Linked DNA regions of Oryzias latipes. The protein of the gene in region 3 interacts with the protein of the main gene of each other region in a pairwise test. Links are inferred from orthologs where the notes say so. Each region holds a gene or a part of one and is shown on either strand. Other genes may lie near its edges. The genes, in order: pogz, rbm46, RNA-binding protein with multiple splicing, tusc2, growth factor receptor-bound protein 2, exosc1 and pin1.

Region 1 (2,710 bases), on a different chromosome or scaffold from region 3:
GACGTCTGCGTGGCACAAGTCCTGCGAGATCACCTGATGGTACTGCCTCCCACCTGCGTCTGACCCCGCCCACCCTTCAGACTCATCAACGCCCTCTGTCTTGTTTGGTGATTGCTTACAGGCTCGATGGAACCAGCTCGTCGCAGAAGGAGGGCTGGACGGTCTGGGACTGGACCAGCTGGCTCTGATGCTGGCCTGCTGGGTCAGCGAGGCTTCCTTCACCCTGAACTCCAAGAAAAAGATTTTGCACAAGTGAGATTTCCTAAACCCAGCAATTCTGTGATATATTGCTATTTATTTGGCAATAGTGATATTGATTTCAAATGCTGCCAAAAGGATTTTAATTTCAGTATTCATGAGCAAACATGCAGTTTCAATGTCTTACTTTGTGTTCCACCTAAAGTAAAGCAGACGTTCACTCATTAGTCTCACAGTTGTTGTTGTTATAAAGCTCAATTAGACACCAACAACTCAGTTTAATCAGTGATGATGGGTACCAGAACTCTGCCAAGTTGGGACCGACCCATACCAAACCACTGGTACCGTATAAAAACGTGGATTCTGCTACTTCGTTTGGGACGGGTCGGTCACTATTTAGTGTTTCTGTACTATTCTAGCCATTCATTGAGTGAGAGTTCATCTGTATTTCACAATAAAAGATTCTAATATAGCCACCTGATGGACAAGAGTTACGTGTTCTATCATCTGATAAAAGGCAGTTGCCGTGGCGACGAAACCCACCTTTGTGAAAACGGAAAAGCGGTGCTGCAGTGCAGACTGTCAGAAAGAAGGAAGTAAAGTATCTGAGGCAGATTCAATCGCTCTCCTTTCCCATGATGCGCTGTTTTGTCACACGTAAGCGTCTTTGGAGAAAATTGGCGTGTTTTAAAAAAAATTTGTTTTTTACTTTTGGAGCACAGGTTCATTTAAGCACCAGAACTGTTTTAAAAGTCCCCATTTAGCACCGGCTAAAACCCAAACGGTACCCATCCCTAATTTGAGCAGAAATTTGAGATTTTTTTCATTGTTTCTATGATGATTTCATCCACCAGCTTTTGTCACATTCGTAAGGTTCAGTGCTTTGAAATCAATAGCCCTTTATTTTCTTAACCCATACCTATTTAACCTTATTGATTAAATTACTGTTAAGTTTGTGTTGTTGTTTTTTTGACAGACTGAAAAATAGTTTGTTGTAGAAACCAGACAGTGTTGAAAAACTGAATATCTTAACTTACCAAAATAAAAGCACCTGGGGCTTACATGTTAACTAAAATGTTTTTTAATTTTATTCATGGAAAAGTGTATTAGCATTCAGATAGTTTTGCTCTTTTAAAATTTGTGATTTTATTGTCTCTGTTACAGTCCTGTTATATGGATTGTGTCGTGATCCGCATCATAACGGCAGACTCTTGCTAGTCTTCATGTGCGTTCTGCTCATTTATAGATGGACTTCCTCTTTGTTTATTTTCTCATCTGTGAGCTTTGAAACAAACAGACGACATTTTCCGTTCGGGCCCCTGCTGTGTGACCGCGGCGTTCGTCCCTCTGGGGCCTCCGTAATGACGTCACGTTGCTCTGTTTCCGACCCCTCAGATCCTTCAGTTTGACCTGCAGCCTGGACCACTCGGAGGCTCCGGGGGAGGCGGCCAGGATGATCACGGCTCTGAGCGAAGCCCTGAACCAGCCCCCCGAGGCCGAAAAGGCAGAACCGAAAGTGACACCGTCGCAGGTGAAGGAGACGAAGACGGATCAACGTGAAAAAGAGGCTCCTGAAATGAGAGAAAATGAGGAAGAGGAGGAGCTTTGCATCAGAAGCCCTTCACATCTACGGCAGGTGTTTGATGGGGACAGTGATGAAGAGTCATTTCCTGGTTTCCCAGACTGCTGAGGCTGCGTCAGGCTTTTATTTTGAAATACCGATGAGCCTGGACCTGCTGCTGAGGAGCCTGTTAGTCTCTACAAACATTCAAAAGATGAAATTCCAAAGGACTCTGAACGAAGCTGCTAATTTCATGAATTAATATCTCTAAACAAGACGTTCAGAACTGACATTATCCAATTTAAATCTTTAGAGGTGATGTTTTTCTTCTCACTGTTCCAGGGCGGGACCTGGCAGTTACTCTTTTCTATATGTACAGCTTATTTTTGGGAATCATAAAGCGTTTGGGGTCTTTTGTAGCAAATTAATAATAAAAAAACAACAACAGTGACTTAAGTTTGTTGTATTTACTGCAAAATTCATCGTCAGCTTCTATATTCTGATTTCCATACAGAGTTATAAAAAACAGATTAAACTGGAAACACGAAGGAGGTTTATCCACGTCAGCTGGAATTTCAAAATTAAAACGTAATCTGCAGATTGGGGTCGGCGTAGCCTGCAGAAGCTGATGTATAAACCCAACACACGTTGACCTCTGACCTTGTCTGCATCCAACATCCCCGCTGACACTTAAATATAGCAGCCATGAGAACAAAGTCACTTTCCCAGCATGCTCAGAAGCAATACATTGACCCCCCCACCCCCCCAAAGGATGAGGGGGACCATCTGGAAGATGCTCGATGGGAAGGTATTTAAATCTCTTTAGAGACGAGGATCAATCCTGTGAATTCCTTCAGAATAATAACCGATGGTCCCAGCACTGATTTTCAGAATAAGAGCCGCCGATTGGTGTTAATTGGACGAATTCTCTATTTCAGTTTTTTTTCTGCG
Region 2 (2,925 bases), about 6.8 Mb from region 3:
GACCGTTCATGCTGCAGGTGACAGGGCGTAGCTAAAACGTATACAACACGTTAAGGGTTAATGTTAGAGTGTGGGATAAGGACGCCATACGGCAGCATCACCTGTACGACATAAGTGCGTGTAACTTCCATTATCCTTACGAACTCTTCACGATGCACTTACCACACGCACGACAATGGTACGTTCCGTTGTCATGACAACCTGTGAGGTGTCCGTATGAGCCTCAAGGTAGCTGCAAGACACACACCAGCACTCCGCTGCGACCCTCCACGGACCCAGACAACCGCACAAACCCACATCATAAGTACGGGTCTACAACCTGTGAACCCGGTACAGGTTTGAGCATTTCTCACTGCAGACAGCCGTCTCCACCCGTAAGGCGGCGGAGACTTAAGTTTCACACAAACGCAGTGGGTCAGTTTTGTTGTTCAGGCCCTCAGAATTTCAGTTTGTCGCACAAAACACACAACAGACAAATAAACAAGACCAACAGACAGATGTTATCTTCATCTGCTGAACATTTAATAATCAACACTTCTTTCCATTGGTTATAGATTTTTGAGCATTTTTTAAATACATATGATCACTTTTACCTAGAATATTTACTTTTTGATTTTTTATCTGCTTCAGTCTTTGGGTTTTTAATAAATACGGCTGATTTTCACAGTTATGATTGGGACGTCAATTTGAAAGTTGGACTAAAATTAAAGCAAAGAAAAGTTGTTTGAGAAAAGAAGAAAACAGTTTTTGAAAGCAGAGAACTTCCAACAAACATGTGAGCGATGGATGAACCAAAGCCTCATGAATCATCAAAAGAACTGAACCATCGATAGAAACGCAGAACTCTCATTTGAACTGCAATACAGCATCAAACTCCTCTGTTCAAAAGCCCCTCCTCCTCTGATGATGATGATGATGAAGATGCATCTTAACATTTATGTCAGTAGTGTCTACAGTCTTCTTCAGAAATGAACTAAACAAATTATTTTCAAAATATACGAAGACTTTTTTTTTTAAAAGATTGAATTTACCTTTAAACTCTACCAATCACATGTAAAAATGGGTGTTTAAATTAAAAAAAATAAAAAAATGTCTATTTTTAAAAGCTTTATTTAAACAACTAATCATCATTATTTTTTTATTTGAAAATAAATATGTTTATGGATTTTTGTTTGTCAAAAATCTGCAGATTTTCCCTGAAAACTGAACCCAAGCGGATTTTCTGAGCTCAGGCGGAGCTGCAGGTGAAACCAAAGGAGGAGGAGCTTGTGGAACGGGAGGAACTTTACTTTCTTTTTGAACACAGACATGAGATGAAGGGATGAAGATGGCGTCGAACTTCGTTCATAACTAACAGGAAGCCCCGCCTTTCTTCTTCCTGCAGGTGAACAGAAAGCAGGAGCTTCACCTGAGAGCCGGAGCGGCTCTGACGGGCGGAGGAGGACAAACTCACCGTCAGTAAAACAGAGACTGGGAGTTCATGAAGAGCCTCTGAGGCTGGGGGGAGGAGGAGAAGGTGGGGAAAGGCGAAGGAGGCGGAGGCGGAGGAGACAGGCAGGAGGGAAAGGGCTGGGCGCCGCAGGTCAGGATGCTGGAGCTGGAGTCGGGCAGGGACAGGGTGGAGGAGGAGGAGGAGCTGGGGGACCTGCAGGAGGCTCTGCTAAAGTAGAGGTCTGGAGAGAAGGAGACAAGACAGGAGACGTCTGGAACAAGCCTCCTCCTTCTGACTGTGGAGCACGGTGGAGAGGAGGCGATGGTTTGGGCCTCAGGCTTTGCAGGTCGTGTGAATCTGCAGATTACTTTCAAAATAAAAGCTCATGGTGTCCAGGTGGGGCAGCACAGATTTATAAATCCTGGATGTTCTTGCCGTCGCTCTCCAGGTGCTGCTTTACTTTTCGCTTATCTCCTTCTGCACAGACCTTCTGGAAGAGGCAGCCAGTAGCAGGCTCCCAGGGAGCTGCAGGTAGCTCAGGTTCCGGCTGCATCAGCTTTTTCAGCAGCTCAGCTGCCAATACTGCAAACGGGTCAGAGCAGTGGCTCCGTGACAACATGGTCCTGCGGCGTTCAGGTGACCTAGAATCTGAAGGAGGGCCGTGGCGCCGCTGCGTTCTGAACTTTGCTAATCAAAGTGAGTCAGCTGGAGATCAAGATGGTTCCTCAAACATCTGCTGGAGTTTGTTTACGAGGTCACAGCTTGTTTATGAAAAAAACATCCATCAACTTTTTCTACCGTTAACCGCACATGAAAACTGGACGAGGGACCCCACGCCCTGTGTGTGTCTGTGTGCATGTGTTTGTTTCTTTGTAGAAGTGCATTTGTGTGCGTGCATGCGTGTGTGTGTACCCAGGTTCCAGAGGGCGTTGTGGGCGGCGACCTCCTTGGCGTCTTCCAGCAGCAGACACAGCTTGTCGGGGATGAAGGTCCCCTGCGCAGACGGCATCACCACCTGCACAGACACACAGACGTCATGCTTTCAGAGTGAAGCTGTTCCGGTGGAGGGGTGGGGGTCTGATCAGGAACCAAGGCGGGGAGGACACTGTGTGTGTGTGTTGCTGAGCAGGAGGCTGGGTGTGTGTGTGTGCACGGTGGAGGGGGTGGGTCTCCAGAAGAAGCTCCGGGAACAGAAGAGGAAAGATCAAGCTGAGGAGTTCATGACGAGCGTCTGCACTGACATTTACAGAGACGCACAAAGGTTGCCGCGTCCGCGCCGAGCCACAAAGCATCAGAACACAAAGGCAATGAGAAATGTCAGCAGAACAGTAGCGGGTTGTGTAACCGATCCGTGTGAACACCTTGTAGAGCAGCAGCAGGTTCCCGTCCTGGTCCGGCGTGGAGTACAGGTGGTATTCGGGCGGGGGCCAGCAGTTCCTGCGGCAGTGGTACTCCAGCAGCGTGACGGCCGAGTTGATCTGACTGGGCTTCAG
Region 3 (4,129 bases):
TGAGGGGAGGTGGCATGAGGACCGTTGAGGCCGTTGTTTGGCATGAGAGTCACACAAACAACCAGACTGTTAAACTTTGGCTCATCATAAGGTTAGTTTATTGATACGTAGGTGCAGTAAAGCAGAAAGCTGTTAAGCATTTAGTGCCTGCAGTGAAACTGGAAGGGGGTTCTGCATTTTAATGTGTAAAATGAGGCCGTTTGAGAAAGCTCCACACCAGCTTAATGCCTGGATGAATCAAGGAGGGGGGGGAAAAGGCGCATTTACGTGTGCAGAACTGGGTTCGGCTTCACTTCCAAGCCCCCAACCTTGCCGCTACTCTTGCATGCAACACACATCATTACACCCAAGATAAAGTGGGGGCTGTCTAACCTTACGCTAATCCATTCAAGTGAATTTAAGTCCTCGCTCGTCTGGATGGCGTCCAAAATGCTTCCACATTAGATTCCTCTGGCCATTACTCTCCCCGTCTCTCTTACGAAAAAAAAAAAAAAGCAACTCGAGACAACTCACGTCCGGTGAGTCCGCTTGAGTACTACTTTTCCAGCCGGACGCAGGTCGAGAGAATCATTTTTCTACTCGCGTCAGGACTGTTGGGTCTCTTTGATGTCCAACGTCACAAAAACACTGCCGATTTAGCATAGGTTCAAAAGAGGAAATCTAACCTGAGAAAACCTCCATTTGAAAGAGGGAAAACATGAAACCTGGGCCCCTTTAGGATAAATCATTCAAGTACAGTTTTCTCTATTCCAACAGAAGCTCTAGACCCCCTTTGTTTTAGCAATCCAGAGGTTATCGGATGGGCCAAAACTAACTATCGATTGCTTAAGTCGTTTGTTAACCAAAAACACACAAACCTTTTTTGCCCCATTGATAAAAAGTGATCTTTATTACTATTTGTCCAGTAAAAAAAAAAGAACAACCCAGAGCTCTTCTAAATAAAAATACACTTTTTTTTAAAGGGTTTCGGGAACTCTTGAGGGTACAGAGACCTCTGTCACAAAAACACTAATGAATAGGTTCAAAAGGTGAAATCTAACCTGAGAAAAGCTACATAAGTAAGAGAAAAAACAAACTTGGAACACTTTGGGACAGATGACTCAATATTTTCCAACAGAAGCTCAGGACACCTCTTGTTTTTAGGTATTGGGAGGTTATCTTATTGACAAAAGCCAGGTATTGATTCATTAAGTAGTTTATTACCTAAAAACACACAAGCGTATCTTTGTCCCATTGATAAAAAGTAATCTTTATTACTATTTGTCCAGAAAGAAGAAAAAAAACCTGAGCTCTACCACATAAAAATGCATTTTTTTCAGGGTTTCGTTAACTCTATGGGGGTACACAGACTCCACAGTAACCAACAAAACACAGTCTTACATCAGTTCGAGTGTGTTGGGTTATTATCAGTCAGTGAGTAACATTCTGCTGAGTTTTAATCAAATTACTCCAAGAGAAATAATCTGATCTACCTTCCTCCCTTCCCTCGGGTGCAGAGGCGGGTTCTGAAACAACAAAGAGCTCGTGCAAATCGGTTCCAAAACCGAACCAAAAAGACGCGGATGGACTCGAACCAAGGTCAAGAAACCGAGCGTTTATCTTCTGACAAATACACGTTAGTGTGTTGTGTTTAGATCCAGATGCGGGACGAGGCTCCTGTTGTTTGACTGTGAGGTAGGATTACATAGAGTCATTGCCTACATGTTGCAGCATTAGTTGTTTGAACTTCAATGCCTTGCTCATCTTCAGTGAGAACTAAGTCTCCCTGACTGCATGGCTTTTCAGTAAACTGTAGCCCACAACCTGCCTTCAAATTAAGAAACAGTCATGTTTTAATGAGTAAAGCAATTATTGCATTAAAGAAGGGGCCGATCTCAAAATGAAATGCATTTTTTTTAACATTTTCACCCATAAACCAATTTTCTTTGGTCACAAAAACCTGTTTTCACCCAAATTGCAGTTAAAACTGAACCAGGACGAAACTTTCGTTTATAAAATTTTACATTATAACTAAAAAAAAAGCTGTTTTTCATGAAAAAAAAAATCCACTTTATAGAGGGAAAATGGGTATAAACGTACATTTATTGATTGAAAAACGTTATGTTTCAGCCCAATAACAAAAGAGAAATAAAAAAAAAATAAAAAAAAGGTTAAAAAAAAAAAAGAAAATATAAGGGAATGACTGACATCTAACTTTAATGAAACCATAAGGATGTTAAGGTCAAACATCTGGATGTGACAACTTTTAGTAGGATAAACTCGACTCTAATTGACTCGGGTTCACCTTAACAGGTAGAACGCGGGTGGCCGGGAAGGCTAAAGCGGCTACACCGCCTAACAAGTAGTTCTGGCGTCTGATTTAAGGTGGAACCGCGTACCTCCTCTTCGTGGTTGGTGAATTCAGTCGTCTCGTTCTCCTTCTCGGTTTTGTTGTTGTTCATCCTGAGCCGCACTCGTGTCGCTCTCGCTCGGGACGGTCGTCTTCTGGTCTCGGTCTCTCCTCCTCGGCTCCTTCGTTGGATTCGACAGGACAGGCAGTCCGCGCGCGCGCCCGCTGTCCCACTGACCCGAGCTTCCTTCACTTTTAGTTTTGCCACATGAATCCCACTAAATGCCACCCCCCGTTCCTTCCTTCTTCCTGCCTGCCTCGTGTCTTTACCACTCAAAGCGGGGTGAGGTGAGCCTGCGGGCGGGTATTCCTCAGCATTCCCTGGAAACCAGAAGCCCCTGTCTCCTCAACAGTCAATGCTCGCTGGACCGAGCCGCAGGCAAACTTCTCTCCCCATCTCCGCGCGCGCGAGGGAGGGGTTTAGGGTGGGGTAAGGAGTGGGATGCGCCGCAGCCCGATCAAGATTTATCAAGTAGCCTCGTGGAGGGAGAGCTTCAGTGGAAAATCAGTATCAGTCAACTTTAGGACCAGCTGCGTGTTATTTTAGTCCCGGCAACATTCCTGAGATAGTCTTTCAATGTGCTGGCTTATTTATTTTATCAGGGACAATAGGTTGAGTTTCTTTTTTTTGTTGTTGTTGCTCCAAAGAAATGTATGAAATATTTCTACATTATCAATAAAGAAATTTTCAATTTTAGAATAATTGTGTCAACCGTGTAAAGCTTGTCGTCCTGGTTATCTTGTTCGATTATTATTTTCAGATAATCAGTATTATGCTATACATTTTTGAGAATTTTAAAAATTCAAATCGTTGTGAATCAGGAGATGAAGATCGTATTTGTGATGTCAGAAATACGCTGGGTGGGCGGCTCCGTTCTGACGCATCCCTTGTAGACGACTAAATCCATGTACGTCTTGGTATGGTTGTATAGCTGTAACACTGCTTGCCATTTTTCTTGCACTGCTAATGTCAGGTTGGGGGTGTGAGGGGCTTGTAAGGTAGTGGGAGAGAGTGTAAACAGAGAGCTCTCAACAACGGGGAGGGTAAGGGGGAGCGGGGTTGCTCCATGCCAGCAGTCCCGCCCACATGTCAGAGGGGAATTTCTAATGAACTACTGCCGCTTTGCAGAAACTATGACCAAGAAACCAACACAGGTTTTTTGGTTTTGGAAAACGGTACAATCATAATTAAAAGACCACTGGAAACGCTTTAAAAAGAGCTCAAAAGATGAGCGGATGGGTCTTTCAACCCTTTAACATCGGAGATTTCGCTGGCAACAGCTGAACAACACACGCCCTTTGATAAGGGCGAATCCCAATTCTTCCCCTACCCCTACGGCTTCTCCCTACCCTTCCAATTGTAGGGGCTTTTGGAGGGATAGGGTTGTCCGAAATAGTTTTTTAATGGCTAACCCATGGCTGCGGAGGGATGTCGAGCCCTAAGTAATGACTTTTTCCTTTAGCCTGACGTTTTACATGTTGTTAGGTATTTCCGAGCACCAGCTGCTCCGTGCTAACGTAGCTGACCAGCGACTGTTCATGATGTTATTGAATGGGAGTAACGTCCGAATTTGAAGGCATTATGTTTCTATAACTCTCCGTCTGGGGGACTAAATGTAGGGGTAGGGGAAGAATCTGGATTTGGCCTAACTCTATGATCGTTTACCAAACCAATGGGAATCAGCTAAATCTGACATGGAGAAAAACAGCTTTTCTTTTGGGCTTTGCACAAACATGCAA
Region 4 (4,007 bases), on a different chromosome or scaffold from region 3:
TGTAGAATTTCTGTCATTTAAGTTTAACATGACAGCTCCACGCTCTCCTCAGTATTTGGGGCCAGATTTTCAGTTTTAAAAGAAAAACATCTCAATAAATGTAGTTTTAATTGTGACCGACAGCATATCATCTCACTTCAGTCCTGGACAATTCCTTACACCTCACAGAGGACAATGGGGAAATCCACATGAATACAAGGATGGTCAAGCTTCACAATTCCCTACATAGAGAGGAAAGGAAAAACAGTTTTCATGTTCAAAATGTTCTCATCAAACATTCCCAAACCATACCCGAGTGTTCCCAGCTCACCTGTGGAATCAGGTTTTTCTGTATTCTCTTCAACTTGGATCTTTTTCTGCCATTTTTGGTCACCACTGTCTCCTCGTAGAACTCATGAGCTAGATCGCCGTCCTCGTCATAGTACAAAGAACTGTCAAAACGGAAGATAAACATTAGACTCTAATTGTCATGTCAGGTCATGTATGAGGTTTAAGAATTTAACTGTGGAAATTCTTCTTTTTTTCAATTAATTACAAAAAAGCCAAACCTTTTCTGTTCTCTAAGCTAATTATTTAAATATGTTTTTCATATTTTACAGATCTTTTTTTCTCAACAATTTATGCCTGATCCAATTTATTTCCCTTTAAAATTGCATCAGATTAGGGCTGGGCCATTAAGCCAAAAATAAAATCTCAGATATTTTAGATTAGAACCAGACTTGATTTAGGAATTTACTTGTTTTTTTTCTTCTCTTCCTCCCTTTACTTTTTTTGACAAAAATTACAAAATAAAAGAATATATTTTTGAAACAAACAGTCTTTTATTTTAACATCTCCTTTGGGAGTTAAACTGAATTCAAAGTGCAACTAAATAAAAGCTAAAACAAAAAGTTTGTAAAACAATCTGGCAGTTGTTTTGAGAGCTGCTGCTGTAGAGAGCAGAACTGCTCTCTGTTTCAGGGGTTGAAATGAATTTATCGTACTCCCACTTTTGGTAACAACAGCCTTCAAACAGGATTTGCAGCGTTGCTCCAAATCTGAAGTCACAAAAGGGAACAATTTCCATAGAACAGCAGAAACAAGCTCCTCTTTGCTAGCAGATTTTTTCGAAAATCCTGATTTTCCAAAAACAAATCTTAAAAGGAAAATTTAAATTAATCAATAAAATGGATTTATTGCCCAGCCCAACATTACATTTGGACAAAAAAAAAGAAAAAGTTGTTTAACTTTTAAAAAAAAATGAATTGCCACATTTTTTCTGCCTTTTGCTGAACCAACTATTTTGCTGAGAATTCTTGTTTTTTACCCAACCAGGTATCTGATCGTTGTGCTCCGAGTTCAGATTTTCATAAAGTAGTTGCATCCTCAAAGCAAAGTGCAGAAAAGACACAAAAAATGCTCTGCTGGTTTAAGCACTTATATATGTTTTTAAAAGGAGGCAGTGTTGGGGTGCGGCATCCTTCTTATTGAAAGAGACTGAAACAATTTCAATGTAGAATGATGAGGATTTTTTTCCCCTCCCGGAGATATTTTCAAAATTTAAAGGAAAAGCCTGAAAACAATCCGGAAGTGCACCTCAATAACTACACGGGATCAAAGTGGTTCCTGTTGGTTCCCTTGAGACAAATTCTGATTAAAAAAAATATATTAGACACATTGTGTTAACAGAAAATTTAGGACATTTATTTTGGCACAAACCATATTTTAGCCTACACAACAAATGTGTGTTACTTATAAATGAGGCACAGATATCTTAAGTAATTAACAAGCTTTTTAAATGATGCAATGTCCTTTTTCCAATAAGCCTTTTTCCCCACAGAGAAATAGTCCAGCATTAAAGAGTCCCATGTTTGCTGCTGTTTAAGAGTTACCTCCTTCTTGTGAAAACATATGGTGTTGCATTCCTGGAACCCTTTAGGCGGGCCAGAGACTGTTCGTTTCCATCACTGCCTGAATCACTTGAATTGCCTGAGAAAGGCCAGACACCTTTAACTTTGGACCCACTTCCTCCCATTCTCAGACATAAGGCATCGTTGATCTCCTCAAGAAGCTTTCGGTCAGTTTGGTACCGCGGTTCAGCTCAAATGTCTGCACAGTCGAGGACCTAAAGTGTGGACAGTTCAGGAAAAGAATTGGATGAATTCCTTTTCGTTTGGCTGCAAAAAAGAGAATTATTGGCCTTTCTTCTTAGCTAGCGCTTAACCGTCGCGTGCTAACATGGACCGCTATAGAATTTTCTAGATGATTTACTACGTAATCAATAGTTTCATCTTGTACGTATTAACTCAAAACGGGTGAGACTAATCATATATTTTTTCTTCTGAGCAGATGGAATCTTTTAGCTCAAACAAACGCTATCTGGGTCATAAAAGTAAGTAACGTTATGAGTCAAATTCAACATTAATTGACATAAACAAAAAAGCCAAGAGAACCAGCATTTATTCTGACTTTTTTAAACTATTAATCTCAGCTATTTGACTGTTGGTAACATGTTAAATAGCTGATAAGTCGCTAACGATACCTGCCTCTCTCTGTTTGGGTAACACAACCCAGTAAGCTGGCTAGCTTCGACATGCTCAGGTTAGCTTTCGTTAATGAACGATTTCCCGCTCGACATTTTGGTCTACCAAAACATAAACTCTGATAGAAACAGAAATAAAATATTAGCTCATATTATTTCACCTTTTTGTTGTATCCTTTTTGGCCTCCGTGTTCAGCCATGACTTTGTAGCCAGCTGTTTAACTAGCGCTGTTTGTTTTGATCCTAGGGAGGACGTGACGTCATAAAAATGTAGGCCATTAATTTGATAGTTTTATCTGTCAATCTTTTCAATAATATCAATTGGGTAAAAAAGCATGCCAGATAAATTTTCTATACATAACCAAATTAAAGAAATACATTAAAAAATCGACATAACATTTATCCCACCAATGTGTTTGTATTGAAATTCTCAAATAAATAACAGTAGTTTTTGTAATGATTCCCTAATAAATAAATAAATGTAAAGGTTTTTCACCTTTTCTACTTTTGTAAATTCTCCATTGAATTCTGGAACTAATCAGAACGATTTGTAAACATCAAATCAAAAAGTATTAGGAACCTTCAGCTTCTCCAGAACTCTGCTGCACGAGTTCTTACAAAGACCAGGAGGCGAGCTCACATCACCCCAATTTTAAAATCCCTGCATTGGCTCCCCATATGCTTCAGGATTGATTTTAAGATACTTTTAACCGTTTTTAAATGTCTTAACGGTCTTGCGCCTTCTTATTTATCAGATCTTTTAGTAAGATATGAACCCTGGCGGACCCTGAGATCCTCTGGCACTGGTCTGTTGACCATTCCTACTGTAAAAACTAAAACCTATGGAGAGGCTGCATTTCAGCATTATGGCCCCCGTTTGTGGAACAGTCTGCCAGAGGGCCTGAGAGCCGCAGAGAGCATTGATGCTTTTAAGAAAAGGCTCAAGACCCATCTTTTTAACCTGGCTTTTAGCTAATTTTTTACTACTTTTATTTATTTATTTATTCAGTTATTTATTTATATGTACTTTTTATTTTTATTTTATTTATTTATATATCCATTTTATCTTGTTTTATGAACTTGAACCTGATTTTTAACGTATTATTTTAATTAACTTTATTTTACTGTTTTATTGTTTTTATCAATATGTTTACTTGTTTATTCTCATTTTTATTCAATTTTATTTCCGGTGCTTCCTCAGCTGGATCCTCTCCCTCTGGGTCGGCGGCTGTTCAGCCACTGCAGCTCTAGATGGGGACCTGCATCACTGCTTAGCTGTGGTGGAGCGGTCCCCGCCTGTGATGCTGCATTTGGCTGTCTATGCGGCTGTTCACAGAGGGCGAGGTTCCATTTATCAGCGTTTCCAGCATCCTGTTTTTGTGCTCAACCTATTTCTCATTGTCCTTGCCATCACTTAAGGGGTGGGAATTGTGAAAGGAGTGATGGGGGTCTAGGTACGGGGAGGGGGGCCCTATTTATTTATTTA
Region 5 (3,995 bases), on a different chromosome or scaffold from region 3:
CTGTAATCGCGGCTATGTTTGCTTCTCGACTGTCGGCAGAAATCCTGTTTTTAAAAATAGATGAACACTGAAACTGGCAGTGAGGCTGTTGGGAATAACAAAAAGTACAGCAACTCCTTCGTTTGTGTTGTTACAAACTTGTTCAATACTTATTAATCCTATTCATTAATATTTTACTCGTTAAATGTCCAGTAATTAGAGTTTCTTAAGGAACTGATGGTTGTTCGATGTGGTGAGAGAGCGAGGCGTTCAAGGATGAAAAAAAAACTTTTGCCTGTGGTTTCTGTATTTGACAGAGCTCACATTCAAAGCTGCAGCACTTTTTCTGTTTACTCTTAAGTAAATCAACTGTATTTGTATTAACTACACGTTAAGAGTACTACAAGTATTACTAAAAGCGAGGCAATGTTCTGTAAAGTTTACTTTTAATGTTCCAATTTAATCTGAAGTAGTATTTAGTTTGCTTTCTACACTACATACTCCACAGTATTCTTGCTACACTTAATAAAATAAACTTCTAGAGTACTTCTTTATGCTGAGGCTTAAAAATGACAAATATTTTAGATTTGTCACCTCAGATTTGATCAAATACTTCTGTAGTAAAGTAATCTCAATGTAGTATTTGTGTACCACATTCAGAAAGAGAAATGGATTACTTTAGAACGAAGTAATCCATTACAATTTGAAAGTGACTACATAGTATTGTAGAAGAGATTTATTAACTTGGAGTTTTCTTAACCCCCCTTAAACACTTCCTCCACGCACGCGGAGATGGTGGTGAGACAGGTGTGTCAGACAGACAGGTACACGCCATTCAGCTGTGGAGTTCATCTGTGTTAACTTTGCTCAGGTTTCTCTCCATCAGCTGATGCTCCAGCCCGGGTTGGGTCGGGTTAGGTTAGGTTCCCGATCTCACACCTGGCCCACATCGGGCTGAACGTGTCAAAGGTGCGACCCAAAAGGCGTCCGCGCGCGTTTTTTCTTTTTTTTTTTTCTTCTTTTTGTTAAACACTATTTCACAGCACTACTTCCCCAAACTGAGGGGAACAACATTTACATTCAAGCGCGGGCAGCCGCTGCTGCTGGCATTTCTGTTTAAACTCAGAGAACCTCCGCCACTCTCCGTCACCGAAGGTGCTCTTCAAAATAAAGTAGTCCGCGTGCGGTTTAAAAACACTCTTAAATGTGGCGTTTGGGCACACAGATGACAGAAAGACCGCGGTTCGGTTTTGTTCTGCTCACCTCTCCGGACACTGCTCCGAACCCGACACCGGCTCCCTCCGCGGGTCAGACCGCAGCACACCCGAGAAGTTAGCGGCGTCCGCAGCGCAGCATCCGAAGCCAACAAACGAGGCGCGTGCGCTCCCTGACAGCGCGGCTTAATTTGACAAGTCCCCGCGTGAGCACAGCCGCTCTTCTACAAAGTAATTCGCGCCGCTTCCTGGAACCTTCCAAAATAAAAGACAGACTGGGGTTTCTGAACAGCGCCACCTACACGTCATTTATGCCACTCGCATGTATCAAGGCAAAAATATTACTTTTCATTTATATATTTTAGTTTTCAAATATGAAATGCATTTTAAAACAGAATTTGCTTTTTTAAAATATTTTTTCTACAAATGTTTATTTCAAAATAAAACAATATTTTTCAAACATTTAAATGAGTTCCTACAATAAAAAAAGCTGCTGTCTTCATAAAATTGAATTTTTTGATTAGTTAGTCATTCAGAGTTAATAATTATTTAGTCTGATTTGTTAATCTTGGCAACTGTTCAACTTCACTTGTTAGGTTTTTCTTTTCTCGTCTCTAGGTTTGCCATTTTTTAAAGCAGATAAAAGGAAACAGCAGGAGCTGCGGATAGTAAATGTTCTTCAGAGTATATTTACTCATGCAAATTTACTCATTCGTCCTGGAAGGGCAAACAGCGTCTCTTCCTCCCCAAAAACAGACGAGAAATTGTTAAAAAAACAGTCAATACACTGTTTTGTTTTGTTTTTTTTTTAAATAAAGCTACAAGTAAATATTTTTCAGAAAACAGTTCAAACATAGACAGACATCTTCCTGTCACCAGCTTAAAACAGTTCAGAAAAATACGGATAAAATACATAAATAAATAAAAATAACTGCTGCTCCCAACTACAACCTAAAGAAGCCACAAAGTCTGGATTCACCCTTTAGAAAATTGACACACTGACCTTATGTTACTGTTTTTATAAATATAAACAAACTGTTGTTTTATGGCATAAATAAAACATACAGAGAAAATGTACTAATTTCAGAGGGTCACATGACTTCCTTTCAAAATAAAATACACCCTGTATCGTTTAGGTTCATCTCAGCAGCATTAGTGTTTTTTAAAGTGTTAATTTTACCGCTTGTGGTGCATCTCAGTCAGAAATTTGTCAAACAAACCAAAAAATAAACCAGAACAAGTGAAGTGACTCTCACCGTATTTTTTAAAAACATTTAATCCGTTGAAATCTTTCAACTGTCTGTTTGTTTGTTTTTTAACTTAACTTCTTACTTACAGTTTACTTTGCAGATATTTGAGAGCCACAGAGGAATTGCCACATGTGCCTCAGGAGCCACAGGTTGCAGACCCCTGCTCTAGAATCATCTGTGATGACACGTTTGATCTTGTGGTGTTTTTCCTGAGATGCCAAAGTGTTGGCGACACGTTGTTTGGTTGGTGCGTGTCCTTCACATCTGTTCGCGCTCTCGTAAACCTCAGCATGGCTTGTTCTCACTTGTTCGGCCAGGACGTCCTGCAAAGGGAAACTTCATTTGCCTCCAGAGATCCAGCAGCACAGAGCATCGGGCTAAACGCCTCCTGAGCTGCACTCTGCAACACCAGCATGCAGCAAAGTCTGAAAGTGCCTGACCTGAATCTCCAAACCGCTCTCTTTGTGCTGCAGCTGCAGGTGGATACCTCACATCCGCCCTTCGCTCAGTTACTCAATACCACAAGACAAATACCCACTTATCTGTGCGCGCAAGACAGGTGAGGCAAAGCCAAGGCTGGGAGGAAGCCGTGCAGGTGTGTGTGCAGGCCAGCCGTTAAAACAATGCCTCACAATGTTGGACTGTTTGCAGTGAAGAAATAAAAACACGCGTCAGCTCATGGTAGACTCATAAAAATGTTTTGCTTTGCACCTCACTACAGCTGGGAGATGCAAAGATATGTAAATGAGATGGTTCAATCATCTGATGTGTTTACGATACAAGCTGATAAAGGCTTGTATTCCAAAAATGTTGGAATTAGAAGTTGTAGATTTTGACCGGCGTGGGCGTGGTGGGTTTGCAACTGTTGCGATCTTAGCTCGCACATTTTTTTTCCGGAATGTCTTGAAAAGGGTGTCCAGGAATTCTTTGACTCAAGCTGAACGCAAAAATGTAACATGCGATATGACAGTGTTAAAACTTTGGACGTGGTAAATAAAAAAATGTTGCAAATAAATTCGCTGACTCAGCTGAAAAATGAAATTCGGGGAAAGAAAAGTTACAATTCACTAACAACACCAATTTACACTTGTCGGGGATATCCAAAAGAAGTTTTGAAATCATTATGGGATGGCAACACGATGGCCATTTTGTACTTTTTGTTCCCACAATATGGGAAAATGAACTTTATTTAGAGCGATTTTGACGTGATTTTACGAACATACTACTATCTCAAGTCTACCATAACCCCTGGAATTTTGCCAACCTTTCACCTTGGAAAAAGGCAGCCATCTTGAATTTTTTTTTTTAAAGCACCTTTAGGACCAGATACAAAGGAAAACCTGTCCTAGGGATTTTGATCGATCCTTTCCTAACTTCTCGGCCATCATTCGAAAGCAGTTGTGGAGAAGATGTTGCAATTAGAAGTTGTAGATTTTGAACGGCGTGGCTAGCTCAGAGAGAGGCGTTTACCTATTACTTGCACATTTTTTGACTGAGAAAATGTAATGCATGCATTCATGGCTAGAACTGAACAAATTGATATAACTTTGGA
Region 6 (4,229 bases), on a different chromosome or scaffold from region 3:
GATTTTGAAAGTCTCCCTGTGGTTCAGCAACAGACAGAAAAGATGTCAAACTGTGATGCTAAATGCAACCCAGTTTCAAATGTGGAGCTGCTTTAGACTAGAAGGGAGTCTACAGCTGTGAGTTTAGTTATGATGTTTTTATTTATTTATGATTTTAAAAACATGCAGGAAAACAGCAAAGACAAAGGCAGGAATACTGAATCCATTTACCACATGTATTTTGTCATCATCGCACTTTCTTCTGTTTAAAAAAATAAATTTAATTAATTATCTATGATAATCTATATTTCTAATCTGCAAACAATTCCGCTACCAAACAAGCACCATGAATGTGACAAAGTCCTGGAAAAATCTCCTAATGAGGCTAAAAGTGTAGGTCCCACCTGTGTCAGCCCCCCCTCCTACCTTACAGGTGACGATGGCGCCCACATCTGGCAACAGCTGGACTTCTGTTTCTCTGACCACAGAGATCACAGGTAACTGTAAAACACCACAAACGTGCACGAGAACCAGTGCGGACCAGACTCGTCATCACCCCGTTCCATCCCAAACTTTGATCCCTCTGGATTAGAGGGTGGGTGGAGTCAGGCTAATGGTAAGGCTGGACGATAAATGAACTACAGTTTGTCCCCAAATTTGAAAAAAATTAAAACAAAATACTCTCTCTCTTTAAAGGAAAATCCCCTTAACTACAGACTTGGAAGATGTGTCAACAAGTCAACTCTGCTAGATCCACCCCTCCTCACCTGCTCCCCCTCATTCTTCTTCAGCACGTAGCCTGCAAGAGAGGAGTAGATGTAGCCGTGCCGCAGATACACTCCAGTTCCCAGAATGCAGTCCTCCACGCTGCACAGTTTGTCACCTGAGACACAGATGGTCAGAATGAAGGTGGGGCTTCCTGCCAAACCACAGTAAAACCACAGGATTTACCTGTTTTCTAGAGCAGATTATCTGATCAGGTGTGTTCAATCAATCAGAGCCTGTCATGTGTCTGCCCCCCCCCTCTTGTTTTTCTTTCAATATTGATAATTTTCCATTTGAAATTATTGCAAACTTTGCAATAGTTGCTTCGTTTTTCTCACAGCAGAGGCACAAAGCTCCTTTATACATATGCATATGCAAAACAGCAAACAATAAACAATATTATTTATTACATTGTTGTTTTTGAATTCCAACAAGGAAATAAATATTATAGAGATTTCATAAATAGTATATTGGAAGGGGAGCTAGAGTATATATATATAACTGAATGTTTAGTGAAATAATCTTCAGGCTCTAAGTATGTAAAATACAGCTCAGATTCAAAGGTTCATTTATGAGTCCATTCCATGTGTGTGGAGGGGCATGACATCTGCAATTATACATTTGTTTATTCTGCCATTAGTTTAAATGACAAATATAACATTCAAGATGTATATTGGATCCGATTATTGAAAAGGTTCCTCAGGATGTTCACCTTTTCCTAGTTTAACATTAAATGCTTTGTTGTTTCAATATTTACACTATTAAAAAGACACATTTCCAACTACAGTTTCAATACGTCTTTTCAAAATTGATTAAACAGGTAAATACTGATTAGTATAGGGGTGTCAAACTCATTTTCACTGAGGGCCACATCAGCATAACAGCTGCCCTCAAAGGGCCAGATATAACTTATACATGTAACCAAATGTAATGAAAGATAGACGTAACTACTCCTTAATGTTAAATAACTCATTTATTAAATATAACGTTTTATAGTGACAATTACAGTTGCATAGAAAACATGTTTGCTTGTTAATTTAGCATAAATCCTTCTACATTTTGTCTGCTTATTAAAACCCACGCTCAAACTGTCCAAGTGAAAAAAGAAAAATAACTTAAAACTGAGCTAGAAAGAAGATTAATTACACGTGTAACATTTTACAATAAAAGGCTGCTCACAGCCTTGCATCCAACTGATGGTTTGATGACAACAATTTGTCTGCATACACACACAAGACCGGCAAACATTGTATAATTACAACTGCAGCTACACAAATAATATGTAATCAACTAAAAAAACATTTCATTTTAAGAAATTAAAAACTTTCATGCTCCCGCGGGCCACATAAAATAACACGGAGGGCCACATTTGGCCCCCTGGCCTTAAGTTTGACACAGTAGTGAATGATGATGAACTGTTGTACAAAGACAGCAGGACTTAACTGACTAGAAGCTGTTTCAGACGAACACCACATTTCTGCTGATGCATGACGCAGCTTTCAATAGTCAATATTCTAAAATGTTGTACCCGTCCGAACTTCTGAAGGGGACCACATGGGGCCCCGCTATAACCACGTGATCCTAAGGATCGACTGCATAGTTTTCGGGGGTGGGAAAAGTCACAGTCCTTCACGTGTCGAGCCTTCCCCGCCCCCTCACGTGTCTCGGAGCTCAGAAAATGCGAGCACGCGCCCAAACTAAGTAAGAAAAGGGAAATATAAGCATGCACACAAACGCAAATCTACGAATTTACTACTACCTAAACGATGAGTGCGCAAAGACGAGCTAAATCGCGCGTAGCTATGGCAGCAACATTTACACGTTATACCGCTACGGAGAATTTTACGCCATTTTCTGGCGTCCCAGTGACAGACTCACAAACGGGATTAACAAAAAAACAACACACAAAACCAATAGAAAACCGCTAAAAGCGGTTTTTACGGAGACTTACCTGGAACGCACAGCCTCGTGGGAGACATGTTTGCGGAAGACGCGCACCACTCAATTGGCTCTTTTCACGGGCGCGAGGCGACTCTGATTGGTTAATTCAGAGTGGGAGGGTGTGTCCGAAAGAGGTGCGCATGGGCATGAAACGTGACGGTGTAGCAGTAAACAAATAATTTGGTTAATTTTGTATCGATATATATATATAATTTTATTTGGAAGTAATTTAATATTTTATACAATTTAACAAAAACTTTTTTATTAGAAGTGGGCTGCATAAAAAAGAGCTTTTAAAAACGATTTTTTTCTCGTTTCTAATTAGTCTTTTGGGTTTTGTTGGCAAGTTTAATTTAGAATTATTTCTATAAATGACAAAGTTGTTAATTCTGCTCAAATAAAATGACTTTGTTCTGCGCACAAACGGTAATATTGCAAATGTCAACAACTCTGAACAACAAATTTAATGTCCATTCAAAGTAGAGAATTTGTGACTTAATGAGCAGAGATAATCTGTCAAACTAAGTACTGGTGTTCCCCTTTTTTTGTTTTCTTGCTTTCTTTCTTTTTTTTTCTTCTTTGGGAGGGAGGTCATTTAGTTTGTGTAATGATCATCAGACAAACAGCTTTGGTCAGTCACTACATTCAGTATGGGGCAAGACTTGAAGATCATGTGGTAAACCATGTCATATCAAATTAAATCAAACTTTATTTATAAAATAGTGCTTCTCATGCGTTTGTGCAGCTCGAAGCGCTTTAGCATTAAAAACAGAAAACACACAATATTACAGTAAAAACCCAACCCACCCTTCCCACTCCCCTCTGTTAAAACATATGAACTATGGCCTGGATTGCAGGAAAACCATGCAGAAAGAGATTTAAAAAAAGACCTTTGTGAGTCTACAGCAGAAGTGCATATACAGTGTCTTCATTTTTTATTAAACTCCAGTTTTCTAAACGCCATTCGTGGTATGTAATGCTGTCTCACATGGTATTGGGAAGCACTTTTAGAGTAATCTGTCTCAATGAAAACATGTATAAACCTTTTGACTTGATTGTTCAAAGATGCTGGAGTCATAACTTGTTATTTTGATGACACTGAAACTTTCACTGACATAAATACTTGACTTTGAAGATCAATTCATCCACTTTGATTAAGGGATTTGCTTTTGCAGCTTGAACTACCCATTTTTTAACTACTGACTTCCTTTCCAGAATTTGACTTTCCATTCTGAAAGAGTGACTCGCTTTTGCAGGTTGTGCATCGAGTTTTGCAGTTTGAAAAATCTGTTTTGAGAAATGCCTTAGAAGTGCTGCAAACTTTAATACTGTAGTGAGAAACGTACCAATGCGACTAAGAAATCTGTAGTCCTCCAAATATTAGGGAAAAAATGATATTTCATTTGGCTGGAGCGAGATGTCGTCATTGGGATCGTGTTTGATCTTCTTTTGTGTAGTCCTACTCAAAGGAAAAACCTGATGAGTGAAAATAATAAGAGGGAAATAAAATCAATCTTTACTCCAGTTTTTCTAAAAAAAATAGC
Region 7 (4,113 bases), on a different chromosome or scaffold from region 3:
ATTATCTTTTTTTTTTAATCAGGTGGGTGATGAGGTTTGAGTTAAATGTAGATCATGAATGCAAACATGCAGACGTAAGCCAACTTAGACTAAATTGGGTATTTTAGGAAGACTAAAACTAAATTGCATGTTTTCTAATACGTATAATATAAGCATTATGTGTAATTTCTCTTCAGTTTGGCATTTGTGGGTTGATTCAACAGAAAAGACAACCCGTGCCAGAGTAAGTGATAAGAATTGTCCTGGCAAATGCAACAAAGCAATGTTGAGAGACCAACAAATAGACAGAGTAAAAAAGTTTATGAGGCTTTTGCTGGAGAGGAAACCTTATAAACAGAGTTAATTATTAAGCATTTTTTAACTAAAATTAGAAAGCATTTTTACTTAAAAAACTGTAAATATTAGGACAATACTACCTTATAACTACATAAAAGCTGAAGAACTAAAACTAAGAAAACCCAATATTCCCATTATGATGTTGGTACCTCTGGCAAACAGTCCCAGATCTCCACCGTTCTTAGCTGAGCTGCAGTCGCTGAACTGAGAGGCTAGAGATTCAAAAGACTCATGCCCAGATTTGATTTCGTCTATGTACTCTAGAAAACAGAACCAAAAAAAAGACAGATTAAGTAGAGATTTGAAACAGATCTGGTGTTTCTGTCCTCTGCCTTACTTACTCTGAATAAGCTCTATAGCCTCTTCTTTAGTTCGTGTTATATTTTGTTCCCTCCAGGAAGAAGGACGTCGAGACTGATTATGTTTTACTAGGAGGTGGGAGCATCGCACCTGAGAGAGAGAAAGGAGGAAACACAAAAAGATACACAATACATCATCACCTATTTGTTAGAAAGTGTTATAAAATGTTTCTGTGCAGGGGTGTAATGACTAATTGACCTGATCAATCAATCGATTTATATTCCTACGATCCAAGCAGAACAATCTGTCTGAGGCATTTGTTAATTGAATCGATCTATTACATTATAAAACTGTTTCAAATTAAAATAAATATATTATTTCCATATCGGGAAATACCATTTGGCTTAAGGGACGGTTTACTTTACTATAACATAATAACAACCAAGTGTTAGTTAGATTGAACCAATATTGACCATAAAATCGTACTGGAAACCACAAGTGATCATATGAATTAGACCTGCACAACAAAACGCAAATGTATCATTATCGCAATTTCAAGCTGTGCAATTCGCATATTGCAAAAGTCGTCAAAAATAGCAATAAATGTTTACTTTAAATGTGCTAAAACAAATATTGGAGTATTTAACGAATCAAATAAATTGACCAATCAGATGGGGCTCTTTTATTTATTTATTTTGAAGCTTTTCTTAGGTTAGACGTTCGCCTCCTATGTAGACGAGGGTCATTTGGAGTATAATTTAAGTTATGTTGACTCTTATTTAAATTAAACTGTTGCAGTAAAATGGAAATGATGTTTTTAGTCGTTTTGCTATTTGTTCATGAATGTTTTATCGTCGTCGCAATATTGATCACTAATATGGCGAGTTTTCCTCATATGGTGCAGCCCTAATATGAATGTCATTAAAACTAATCATTACCGGTACATCACTATCACAAGCTCTACAAATACTTCTTTAGTGAATTTATTATGATTTCAATCCTAAATGTATTGCTAATAAAACACACAAAATGAAGTCCACCTTATCTGGCTCTCCACGGCCATCTCCCACAGGACGTTCCCACTGGCTGGCATTAGTGATGTGGTTAAAGTAGTACACCTTGCCTACAAACAGCAAAGAAAGCAGTTTGATCAGCACCTTTGGAATGATCCAAGACATTAGAAGACACAAAAATCAAATTACAGTTTACATGACCTTACCCACTAAAACTGCAAAAGCACTCACAATTCCCCGTATCGGTATTATTGTTGTTTCATAGTAGTTGGTCATGAAGTTGCATGGTTTTGAATAAAACCAATGCATCAACTGCTGACAGTGTTCAATTTAGTTTATAGGTCTGCAAAAAGCTGTTCCTTTGCAATCCTTCCTTTTTACTCCATTGAAAAGAAACACACAAATAAAACAGAAAAAAAAACACCTAAAGTTTTTACAAGGCAATCATCTACCCAAACAGATTTTCTGTAAAAGAAGAAGAGAAATCAGATAAACAGACGTATCTGCAGAAATAAATCACATTTTGGGGGGGATCTGAAAGTTTAGTAGATTTCTCAAAGTTAAATAATTACCTATATATGAAAAAAATGTAAAGTGATCTTGTTTACAAAATATTCCCCAAATTGTCAGTTTTACTGTGCGTATATATTCACAAAATACTTTCAAGACATCAGGTCTAAGCTGCGTCTGCGCAAATTCCAGGTGACGTCATGCAACGGCGGCCCTGCAGAACATCTCCATTAGAAAAAAAAGTGGGGGAAAAGCTAGTTATAAAGCAAACCGTAGCATAACCGTATTTTCCCAGCGGCACTTTTCCTGATAGAAACCGTGTCGGTAACCCCGATGCATGCATTAGCAGGACAGCCTCACCTGAAACAAGTTCACAAAGCCTCGCTTACCACGATGCACGGGCTAGCTATAAGCTAAATCAACTTCTCGTGGGCTGCAGTTGAGCTCATACATTCAGCCTCCCCCGTCTTATGTATATTTACCTGAACTACGGCTCATTCTTTTCTCCCATCCCGACGGTAAATTCTCCTCGTCTGCCATGTTATCTGCTGCAACGTTATCAAGTTAGAATTCAACGTTCAAACGATGCGACACGGCTACGGCTCAGCAGGTACGACAGTCGGTTTACGGCAAAAGTTGTTTTCTGAGTTTGGCCCGCCCCCAAACGGCTTGTCCGTCCTACTATTGGTCTTCAACTCTTGTCAATCATATTTCTTACTATCTAATTGGTTAAGAGGACAATAACACGCGACATCGATTCTACGGTGATGAGCACCGAGAGCTTTCCAGAAGGTTTCAACTAGTGAAGAAAATCCATCAATCTTGGGCTACATTTAACGTATGTTTTACACTTTTTGATCTTTTTAACACGTCTGGCAACATTTTTGAAACCTTAAGTTGATCTTAATAGGCGCCATCTAATTTATGTTTTATATATTTAAAAGAGTTGTGTGCACAAGCTAACGGGTTAGCTAAAAAAATCATGGCTGGTCGAATTTCATCGTCAATTTAGTTTCTGCTGTTGACGCAAAATGAATTACACATTCTTTTGACTTAATGTTAGTGGTGTGAACGATTAATGTCGTTCCTGTTCATAACTCCAATATTTCAGCTTACTAGCTCCTCTTTTTTTCACAGTACACGATGATTGAGGTGATTTGCAACGATCGTCTTGGGAAGAAAGTCCGGGTCAAGTGCAAGTATCCTTCTGAACACATTTGATTTGCTGATCTGCTAAAGATGTTTTGGCTGTTAATACTGCACTGCAACATGCTGGTTCTGATTAGTTAAGGGGGGGGGGGGTTACTGTGCTATGGTCCATCCATAGCACAGTAACCGTGCTATGGATGGACCCTTTCCTTATGAACCCATTTGGGGTTCATTAGAATAACCATTTGGGCCTACATTAGAATAACCAGGTAACCTATGAATCATGTATTTTCGACTGTGGGAGGAAGCCGGAGTGCATGGGGTTTCTCTGCAACAAGCAAACTCCACACAGAAGGGTCCCAGCAGGGTTTGGAACCAGGGCCTTCCCCATTGCACCATCATGCAGCTCTATTTAAAATCTAAAGACTGAAAACATTCAGGACATGAAAGCTGGAAGTGTTTGTTTTGAAGGGTTTTCCACGTCACCAAATTGCTCCTCAACATCCTTGCACAGCTCAGAGGACACAATTGGAGACCTGAAGAAACTAATTGCAGCACAGACGGGAACAAGATATGACAAAATTGTACTAAAGAAATGGTAACTTTGCCTTCCTTTGCCTTTTTCTTCTTTGCATCACAATGAACATTGCCCTTTTTGGCTTCTTTACTTAGAAAATGTGTTCTTGTTTTAATAGGTACACCATCTTCAAGGATCACGTGTCTCTCGGTGACTGTATCCTTTTGACGCACTGACTTGACCTTTACTAAGCTGATGCAGAAAGGACCGATTTGCCCTCTAATTTCT

What was found.
Region 1: the proteins of RNA-binding protein with multiple splicing (region 3) and pogz interact in binary tests that used the Homo sapiens proteins (3 or more experiments, as listed by UniProt). The two-hybrid records come from large-scale screens. The link is inferred for Oryzias latipes from reciprocal best matches to the Homo sapiens genes RBPMS and POGZ.
Region 2: the proteins of RNA-binding protein with multiple splicing (region 3) and rbm46 interact in a two-hybrid assay, tested with the Homo sapiens proteins (2 studies listed by BioGRID and IntAct). The two-hybrid records come from large-scale screens. The link is inferred for Oryzias latipes from reciprocal best matches to the Homo sapiens genes RBPMS and RBM46.
Region 4: the proteins of RNA-binding protein with multiple splicing (region 3) and tusc2 interact in binary tests that used the Homo sapiens proteins (3 or more experiments, as listed by UniProt). The link is inferred for Oryzias latipes from reciprocal best matches to the Homo sapiens genes RBPMS and TUSC2.
Region 5: the proteins of RNA-binding protein with multiple splicing (region 3) and growth factor receptor-bound protein 2 interact in a two-hybrid assay, tested with the Homo sapiens proteins (2 studies listed by BioGRID and IntAct). The two-hybrid records come from large-scale screens. The link is inferred for Oryzias latipes from reciprocal best matches to the Homo sapiens genes RBPMS and GRAP2.
Region 6: the proteins of RNA-binding protein with multiple splicing (region 3) and exosc1 interact in a two-hybrid assay, tested with the Homo sapiens proteins (2 studies listed by BioGRID). The link is inferred for Oryzias latipes from reciprocal best matches to the Homo sapiens genes RBPMS and EXOSC1.
Region 7: the proteins of RNA-binding protein with multiple splicing (region 3) and pin1 interact in binary tests that used the Homo sapiens proteins (3 or more experiments, as listed by UniProt). The two-hybrid records come from large-scale screens. The link is inferred for Oryzias latipes from reciprocal best matches to the Homo sapiens genes RBPMS and PIN1.

What each region holds. Positions count from the first base shown.
Region 1 is NC_019869.2:4,553,673-4,556,382, forward strand, and holds the end of pogz (pogo transposable element with ZNF domain), read left to right. Parts: coding exon 1-39; intron 40-121; coding exon 122-252; intron 253-1,263; exon of another isoform or gene 1,264-1,593; coding exon 1,594-1,888; 3' UTR 1,889-2,210; downstream 2,211-2,710. UniProt on the Homo sapiens protein: Plays a role in mitotic cell cycle progression and is involved in kinetochore assembly and mitotic sister chromatid cohesion.
Region 2 is NC_019876.2:1,243,565-1,246,489, reverse strand, and holds the end of rbm46 (probable RNA-binding protein 46), read right to left. Parts: coding exon 2,794-2,925; intron 2,448-2,793; coding exon 2,345-2,447; intron 1,674-2,344; coding exon 1,456-1,673; 3' UTR 1,454-1,455; intron 1,379-1,453; 3' UTR 501-1,378; downstream 1-500. UniProt on the Homo sapiens protein: Essential for male and female fertility, playing a crucial role in regulating germ cell development by ensuring the proper progression of meiosis prophase I.
Region 3 is NC_019876.2:8,063,188-8,067,316, reverse strand, and holds the start of RNA-binding protein with multiple splicing, read right to left. Parts: upstream 2,801-4,129; 5' UTR 2,442-2,800; coding exon 2,379-2,441; intron 1-2,378.
Region 4 is NC_019863.2:8,091,158-8,095,164, forward strand, and holds the start of tusc2 (tumor suppressor candidate 2), read right to left. Parts: upstream 2,801-4,007; 5' UTR 2,683-2,800; intron 2,105-2,682; 5' UTR 2,015-2,104; coding exon 1,872-2,014; intron 432-1,871; coding exon 311-431; intron 222-310; coding exon 156-221; 3' UTR 1-155. UniProt on the Homo sapiens protein: May function as a tumor suppressor, inhibiting colony formation, causing G1 arrest and ultimately inducing apoptosis in homozygous 3p21.3 120-kb region-deficient cells.
Region 5 is NC_019866.2:2,919,979-2,923,973, reverse strand, and holds the start of growth factor receptor-bound protein 2, read right to left. Parts: upstream 2,801-3,995; 5' UTR 2,530-2,800; intron 1,451-2,529; exon of another isoform or gene 1,243-1,450; intron 1-1,242. UniProt on the Homo sapiens protein: Interacts with SLP-76 to regulate NF-AT activation. Binds to tyrosine-phosphorylated shc.
Region 6 is NC_019859.2:28,378,096-28,382,324, reverse strand, and holds the start of exosc1 (exosome complex component CSL4), read right to left. Parts: upstream 2,801-4,229; 5' UTR 2,724-2,800; coding exon 2,696-2,723; intron 863-2,695; coding exon 747-862; intron 481-746; coding exon 406-480; intron 1-405. UniProt on the Homo sapiens protein: Non-catalytic component of the RNA exosome complex which has 3'->5' exoribonuclease activity and participates in a multitude of cellular RNA processing and degradation events.
Region 7 is NC_019859.2:22,494,304-22,498,416, forward strand, and holds the start of pin1 (peptidyl-prolyl cis-trans isomerase NIMA-interacting 1), read right to left. Parts: upstream 2,801-4,113; 5' UTR 2,770-2,800; coding exon of another isoform or gene 2,745-2,769; 5' UTR 2,700-2,744; coding exon 2,642-2,699; intron 1,760-2,641; coding exon 1,677-1,759; intron 787-1,676; coding exon 678-786; intron 597-677; coding exon 486-596; intron 1-485. Other genes in the region: ubl5 (ubiquitin-like protein 5), read left to right, coding at 2,745-2,769, 2,894-2,997, 3,297-3,358, 3,823-3,906, 4,004-4,041. UniProt on the Homo sapiens protein: Peptidyl-prolyl cis/trans isomerase (PPIase) that binds to and isomerizes specific phosphorylated Ser/Thr-Pro (pSer/Thr-Pro) motifs.